2 linked regions of the Nothobranchius furzeri genome follow. The protein of the gene in region 2 purifies or fractionates together with the protein of the main gene of each other region. This does not show direct contact. Links are inferred from orthologs where the notes say so. Each region holds a gene or a part of one and is shown on either strand. Other genes may lie near its edges.

Region 1 (3,820 bases), on a different chromosome or scaffold from region 2:
TTTCACCGTATGTTTTCTATCAGAAGCTAATGCAGGAGATAGGTGTAGGAGACTATTTTCATGTTCAACTTGCATGAAAAACTGTGACCTATTGTTATCAGAAATAATAATTAAAATATGTTTTTTCAGTGTTCCCCATCTTTAAGGCAGATTGTCTAAATGAAAAGGGGGCTGAGATTTTTCCCCATCAATGTTTTCAATTCTATATTTAAACAAAAAAATAAGAAAAGTCCCTTAGTTTTAAACACAGGGCTTCCCTTTAACCATCCCACTGTCCTAATGGGGGTGACTCCGTGAGGAAAGTTGACCATTGAGGAGGGTTGATGGTTTATCCCTTGGCTCCATGTGGCAGGGGTGAGGAGTGAGCACCCCCTCAACCCTGCCACGTGGACCTCAAGGGATAAACCATCAATCCTGCTCAATGGTCACCTTTCCTCGCGGGGTCACCCAAAAAGACAGTGGGAGGGTTAAAAAATGAGAGAGCATTTCTTATTCCCAGTCAGAACTCACTGTGAAACGTCCATGTGTGTCAGCTGGTTTGGGACTGGATAGACGTTGACTGTTGTAAGGCCTGAAAAATAATAAACCGATGCTACGTTTGAACAGTTTTTTTTTTGTTTACGTTAAATAAACTCAGTAACTGAAAGTTATAACAGAGAGAAACTTTGAGGTAATCAGCCAATGAAGTGATAACAGAAGCTAGCTGATGTGTTTGACTCACGGTTGCTGCTAGCTTGAAGCAAGCGCAGTGTGAAACCGCTGAGTGTGAGTGTCCCCAGCTGGTTTCGCTGGCAGTGCAGAGTCTCCAAGTTGCAGACGGAGCTCAAGTCGAGTGTGTCCAGACAATTGTCCCTTAGGTCCATCTGGGTCACCTGGCTCACCGGCTCAGTGTTCTCGCTTTTAAGCCACCGAAGCCCATTCAGGCTACATTTAAAAGGCAGAACACAAACAAATAGGCAAAGACAATTTATTATAGGGTAACTTAATTGGAAATAAGTATATGTTTTGTGTGTCACCCGTTATTTTACCATGGAACTACGGTTAAGTCAGCTACCGAGATTTAACCGTAAAATCTATGTTTATATATATATATATATATATATATATATATATATATATATATATATTTTTTTTTTTTTTTTTTTTTTTTTTTTTTTACAGTGCACAAACAAACGTGTTGCACTCATGCATGAAGAGAAAGCAGCTCAATGCTCTGCTGGATATAGCATCCTCATCCTCTGACAAAAGATAATTCAATTTCTTACAAAGCCTCTTCTCGATTGATCAGATTCATGGGGAAACGAGGCCAAATCCCTAAGAGATCCCACCCGACAAGTCACTGGGTTGAAAGGTGGTCAGAGCTGTTTTAGTGGCTTTATTTCAGCTAAGCGGTCATAATGTAGCGGCTGAGAATCTCCACTGACAGAGATCAAGGCTCTTTGTCATCCCATAACTCATGTCAATTAAAAACAGCTTCTCTTTTATGGGAACTGCCAGCCCACCAATCCATCACAGATGCACCTTGTCCTTATAAATACAAGCTGCTTTCACCAAACCACAACGTAACTCTCAAAGGAGGATTAGTATCTGTCAAAGTAGTGGTCATTGGTTTCACCTCCAGAGCAGCAGGAGTACGAATGAGCTCACAGATGGCAGTTCCCAGGTGTGAAATAGAACAATGCACTAAACAGCATTTGGTCATAGAACATCTGGTGTCTATGAATGGATTAAAAAATTAAACAAGCTCAGAGGAGAGTTAAGGAATGCAGAAACGGTGGAGGTGCAGGCTGGAGATTTTGACAGGACATTCATTTTCCTGTCAGGGTTTGGAAAATCAAAGTAAAAAAGAGAAACCTCATAGAGGACAGCAATAAGTTTTCCATCCATCGGCTGGTTTCAAAATCACAAAATGACAAACAACAATGCACCGGTCGATGCTGTTACGATAGCACGGCTGTAAAAGTGAGGGATGGAAGCGAAGGAGGAAAGTTACCGGAGGTCGATGTTTCTCAGGTGGCTCATTCTAACCAGGGTGGACAACTCCAGGCTGTCCACCCGGTTCCCAGCCATAGCCAGCTTGTCCACTGCGCTCAGTCTCTCCAGCACAGCGGGGATGTGACAGAAGTTATTGAAGGAGAGTCCCAGGCTGTTGAGCTGAAGAAGGCCACCAAGTTCCTCAGGCAGCGAGCTCAGGTGGTTTCCATCCAAAGATAACGTCTGCAGGCTACGAGGTGAACATGAAAGAAAAGAGAATGCCTTTTTAGAACATAATCAGTATGTCAGCATGTGCCTATGTGCAGTTATAGTTGTTTTAGTTTGTAGCATTTTACATTAGGTCTCTTTAATTCAGCAACCTCATGCATTTCAATTCTGTGCAATACAAACTGGACATTATGAGACTCACAATCCCTTCAAAATATGTATAAAGTCATATAAAATACTGCTTTTTGTGTCTAATTATTTTCATTGCTACATGTAACTTTTCAAAGTGTGAAACACTCGTTTGTTCAATACATTTGCAGTGGTCTCTAGTAGAAATGAATGCCATGTCAGTTGTATTCAGAGGTAAAAAGCTCTGGTGCACCATTTTCAGGAACTAGAAGTGAGCCACATCACTGCTGACCTTCAGGCGACCGGACTTGGAGTCTTATTTCCTGATTTTTGGACATGTTGTCTCTGATGGGATAACAGTAATGCATCTTCCACAGACTGTTTGCTCTGCAATGCTGATACTGAACTGTTTTGGAATGTTTACTGTGCGAAGTGCCTTGAGACGACTCTTGTCATAATTTGGCGCTATATAAATAAACTTGAATTGACATTATGTTTTATCTCTGCATGGTGGCGCAGTGGTTAGCACTGTTGCCTCGCAGCACGAAGGTCGCAGGTTCAAAACTCGCCATTCTGCGTGGAGTTGCGTGTTCTCCCCATGCATGCGTGGGTTTTCTCCGGGTACTCCAGTTTCCCCCACAGATCACAACATGCCGTATAGTTAAAAAAAAAAATTGTAAGTCGCTTTGGGTAAAAGCGTCTGCTAAGAACATATACAAAATCTCCACAAATAACAGAAGCACGGAGGAGTTCTGCCATGTGGTGGAGTTTCTAATGCAAAGGGTTAGCTTCTGCTATAGTCGAGACATTCTCTGTTTTTTAACAACATAGAAAAAAGAAATGGTTCATATTTTTCAGATTCGCTTTCTGTGTGTGTGTGTGTGTGTGTGTGTGTGTGTGTGTGTGTGTGTGTGTGTGTGTGTGTGTGTGTGTGTGTGAGTGTGTGTGTGTGTGTGTGTGTGTGTGTGTGTGTGTGTGTGCGTGCGCGTGTGTGCGTGTGTGTGCGTGCGTGCGTGCGTGTGCGTGTGCGTGCGTGTGTGTGTGTGTGCGTGCGTGCGTGTGTGTGCGTGCGTGTGTGTGTGTGTGTGTGTGTGTCACACCTCTGGAGGTTGCCAATCTGCATGGGGATGGTGTGCAGATTATTACAGGAGAGGTTCAGTTCAGTCAGCGTGAGGATCTCACACACACACTCAGGAAACACACCAAGACGGTTGTGAGATATGTTCAGACTTTTCAGCTGACAAAACCTAAAGAAAGAAAGAAAAAAATCACTTCCTTCATTCCATTGTTCTTGTTGGATTTGGACTAATCATTGCTTGATAAGCTTCACGAGGATGCAATGTTACAAAACAAGAGAGGGAAATAAATGAATGCTTATGTGTGCATAAGGATAAAGACCTTCTATTCTGTATTAAATCATGCAAAGTTCATGACTGAATGTGTTATTAAAAAGATTAGTGATAAAGACAATTATTTTTATAGAGAACAA
Region 2 (4,422 bases):
AGACTTTTTAGGGATTGCAATATGGTCTCCACAACACTTGCCCTGCGGGATTGTGCGTGCCGGCATGAATCGACAGCTCCACCGGGCCATCTGTGGACAGTATCGAGAGTAAACACAAGAACAATTGCTGTGTATCCCCAGGACAAACAACACAACCCAGCAGCTCTCAAGAGCTGCGTGCAAACACGCGTGGGCTGCAGCTATTTCCATGTGAAGAGGAATAGGAAAAAAAATCCCTTAAATACCAGAAACGTGATTCCAAATCTAGCTGCTCGCACTGAGAAAAGCTAAAGCTGTCATTACATTGTTGTTGTGAAGGATGGATGTGAAGAAGCAGCGAGTGCCCTCTACTTCAAAGCATCACTTCATAAAGATGAATGCTAAATGTCAGCGGTTTCTGTGTCTTAAATTGCTTTTTATGAGCTTTTAACAGTTGGGTGAGGAGGAAAAAGTTGTTTGAGGAAGAAACTAAGAAATATTTGGAGGAATTTCTGAAGCGTTTAAAAGTAACTAACTACCCAAAATGTCAGCATAAGCTTTGTAATAACACAAGATTAGGCAAAATGTCACCATTTTCATGTAAAAACATAAATATGTGTTTAAAGCAACTAGATTAAAAGTAATGTTAAAGTTGCTGCCAGTGGCTCATTAAGGTCAAGAGAAAACAAGATGACAGAAATGTCTACGTTTGATGTATGCTTTGTGTATGTACTAATTTTTAACAAAACTTAATAAAAGCTGCTTTCTTCCTACTCAAAAAAGTGCTTATTTGTAACTAAATATCTAAATTCAACTGTAACACGGATAATCATGACCTCTCTGACCTCCTCAGCTTTAAAGAGGTATAAATCAATGCCTTAGGAATCGTTCTCAATGGAAAAAAAGCTCTGGCGCTTCAGTTTCAGGAAGTAGAAGTTAGTCGGAGGAATGGGGGCATAAAACGGCAGGATTTGGAGACTTACTCGTTATTCATGATTTTTGGACACCTCACCTCTGATTGGCTAAGAGCAACGCGACTCTTCCACCGACTGTTTGCTCTGCAACGTTTTTCTTCTACAAATAACACAAGCCTGGAGGAGTTCTACCGTGCTGCCGAGTTGCTTATGCTAACGGTTAGCTACTACTAGCCAAGACCTGCTCTGCTCTCTCCTGAATCAACAAAAGTCTTCCCTGTCACGAGCCAAGATGGGGGAGTCCAAGTCTGACTTTTCTAATACGAGACTTTCCTCGTCTATTTACTCTCCACGGCAAAGACTGTTTTCACATTCAGCCTGCAAGTGAAATTCAGAACAACTGATCATATCTTAAAAATAAAAATAACAAGAAAAAATAGTTTCTCAGTGAACTTGGTCTTTAAGATAGAATGGAAGGAGAGGATCAAAAGTGGGGATGATTACCTTTCTGTGTGAACCAAGCCAAAGCAGAAATAGGATTGTATAAAAACACTTAAAAGAAGCCCAGCAGGTTCTGGTTCTGCCCTTTTGTGATATCTGCTGTCTCACACGCTCCTTCTACCCGTCTCACTGGGAGGACATGTGTTGGACTCAGACAGAAACAGCCTCAGGGGTAAACATCCAGAACACGCAAGGCGGCGCAGCAAGAGGCACAGATGTCCCTGACCGGAGCGTCTTCCTCAAGTGGTTTGAATGAATTTAAACACACACACACACACACACACACAAGTGTGACCAGAGAAAATAAGAGCAGACAACTGAGTGAAGCCCACCCCATAATGTTCCAAGATGAAAGGCTGAAAAACAAATCCCATAACGGGATCTCACTAGTGGGAATAAAACAAGACACCAGACTATTTCCTGCTGTTTGTAGTGGAGGCTTTAGTTATTTGATGTAGTTTGTTTTCACTGCCTAAGCCTGAACCTGCAGGCTGACGACAGAACGATAAACACAGATGTGTCTGTGGCCAGAATGTTCTGGTGTTGTTTGAGGCCATCAGACCCGAGCCTGAACCTCTCACCCAGCAGCCTGGTCAATAGATCAGCTGACGTTCGTCCTCTTTAACGTTATCTGTCATGTTTGTTCATTCTTTGGCCATTAACAAAAAGGAAACACAGAACCTAGAGAGAGCTAGCTCCTCTGAGCTCTACCAGCTGGGTATCGGCCATTGATCCACATCGGTGGACCTGTGGACATGAGACTGAGGTTGTCTTTGTCACTGAGGACCTATTCTCCTCAGGAGGACATGTCTAAGAGGAAGAGACACCAGGACGGGACATGATGAAACTTTTCCAGAACTCAACTCACCTTCTCAGAGCTGATGCTCAGCATCTCCTCCACGTGTCCGAGGATCTCCCCGTTCCTCTCTGGGACGGGGGTCAGCTCCCTGGGTGTCTCCGCCTGCTCCTCCTCCTCCTCCTCCTCCACCACCACCACCTCATCCTCCTCCTCTTCTTCTACTTCTCCTTGAACTTTCACCTCCTCCAGCCTCGCGTTCCCGTTTTCAGTCCCGTCCACCTCTACGTCCTCCTTCACCAATATCACCTCCTCCTCTCCGTCTTTCTTCTCCTCGTCCTCCTGCGTCTCCTCCTCCTCTCCGTTGTCCTCGAACGGTAACGGGAGACCATCGGAGACGAACTCCTTCAGGCACTTTAGGTTGTGTTTCTTCAGCAGCAGGTCCGTGTCCGGGTCCACCACCAGCAGCTCCAGTCGGCCCGCCGTGGCTCGGATCCGGGACACGACCTGCTGGTGGCTCTCGGTCTCCACGTCCTCACCGTTGACGAAAACGAGTCGGTCTCCTGCGCGGAGACCCGAGGACTCTGCCGGGCTGTCCGGCTCCACCAGGCGGATGAACTGGCCCGTCTTGCCCTTCTCTCCGTGCAGGTGGAAGCCGTAGCCGTTGTCGCCCTTCAGCAGCGAGCACAGCCGCGGCCGCAGATGCTGCTTCTTACTCGGCATGTTCGCTGCTGCTGCCGCTCTACCTGTTGCTCGGTCTCACTGGGAACGACTGGAGGCTCTGGGCAGGATGCTGGGGAGGACGGAGGGTGTGCCAGAATGAGTGAAAAACAACACCCAACCCCGTCCCGCTCTGATGTAACCCTCCTCCTCCGGGTGGCTCCAGAGTCCTGACCCGCGTGCAGAACTCACCCTGAGGAAGGAGGAGGTGCGTTCAGGGACCGGTGCATGAAGGACGAGTAAACCAACCGGGACAGAACACCAAGTGGAAATACCAGTTTATTATAATTATTTATAGTTTGTTATCATTTAACAGATCCTACTGTGATACCTAAAGGGAGTTTCTGGCCATTTTGAGGTTTCGGTGTAAAAGCAAATAGCCTCACTCAGCAGAAACAGGGTTTGATGGTGCGTTCGATGTATCTTCGGAACTCGGAAATCCCAACTTCCTAGTTGGAAAATTGTAACCCCCCCCCCCCCCCCCCCCCAAAAAAAGTCGGACCTCGCAGTCAGAAACTCGGAGGAATTTCAGAATTCCGAACTCGACAACAAAAATGGCAGCTCTTCTTATCAACAACAGTAACTTTTGGGTGAAATGTGTTTATTTAACAGAACACACATAGTTTAAAACCAATATTAAATGTAGTGTTTGCAACTCTAAGCTTAACATACTAAAAGTTTTGTTTGCGTGTTAAACGCAAATCTTAAAACCATGCTATTAAGAGGAGTATACAAACAATTACTACTTGGGAGGTGTGCGTCGCCAATATTGGAATCCTGACATCGCTGACTACAGTAACCAGAACGCAGTTAACTCAGGTGTGTCACCATTCCCAGTTCCAAATTCAGACTTCAGAGGTAAACTGAACGCACCACTAGTTCCAGGAATAAAGGTGGATGCTGCTGCTTTATAGGGCATGTTATGAAAAACTCACCATTTGCTTCCTTTTAGGCTGTGTGGTCTCTACTGCCTCTATAAACACTCCAAACGTGGAAAAAATCCTTCCGAGCGTTTTCTGCCAGTGTTTGATTTTAGAAATAATTTGCCTAAAACAAGCTGTTTTGAAAATTACGAAAACCATCTTTCACATGCAAGAAAGACCCATTGCTGGAGGAGTAGCGGCTCTACTCCAAGCCCCATCCAGATGGAGCTTCTCAGCTTATAGCAGCCTGAGCAGGGGTGGCCAGTTCTAGCTTGTTTTCTTAAAGTGACAAAGCCCTGAAACAGACCCTGTGCTTGATAGCAAACGCTTTTGATTAATGAACTCTGGAGAGCTGTGGTACTTCCTCTCCCCTTCACAATGATGTCAGCATGGATGCATGCAGTGAACAGTACACTTTCCAGATCCCTTGGGAATTTGCCAAGAATTTCAGTCGATGACAATTATCGTATTGTCGACACTTTTTCATCTGCTCCATAAAGCAAACAAGAAAAGGGATTCAAATTGTACATATTCCAGTTTGTGCACAATTATGAAGGCGAGTACAGAACACGGCTGTGCTAACTAGTGC

Evidence for each region.
Region 1: the proteins of nherf1b (region 2) and phlpp2 purify together in Homo sapiens (co-immunoprecipitation; 3 studies listed by BioGRID and IntAct, with this or other methods). This does not show direct contact. The link is inferred for Nothobranchius furzeri from reciprocal best matches to the Homo sapiens genes NHERF1 and PHLPP2.

What each region holds. Positions count from the first base shown.
Region 1 is NC_091749.1:59,327,942-59,331,761, forward strand, and holds part of phlpp2 (PH domain leucine-rich repeat-containing protein phosphatase 2), read right to left. Parts: intron 3,579-3,820; coding exon 3,432-3,578; intron 2,225-3,431; coding exon 1,994-2,224; intron 925-1,993; coding exon 722-924; intron 572-721; coding exon 511-571; intron 1-510. UniProt on the Homo sapiens protein: Protein phosphatase involved in regulation of Akt and PKC signaling.
Region 2 is NC_091752.1:50,771,059-50,775,480, reverse strand, and holds the start of nherf1b (Na(+)/H(+) exchange regulatory cofactor NHE-RF1), read right to left. Parts: upstream 3,054-4,422; 5' UTR 2,914-3,053; coding exon 2,263-2,913; intron 1-2,262. UniProt on the Homo sapiens protein: Scaffold protein that connects plasma membrane proteins with members of the ezrin/moesin/radixin family and thereby helps to link them to the actin cytoskeleton and to regulate their surface expression. Necessary for recycling of internalized ADRB2.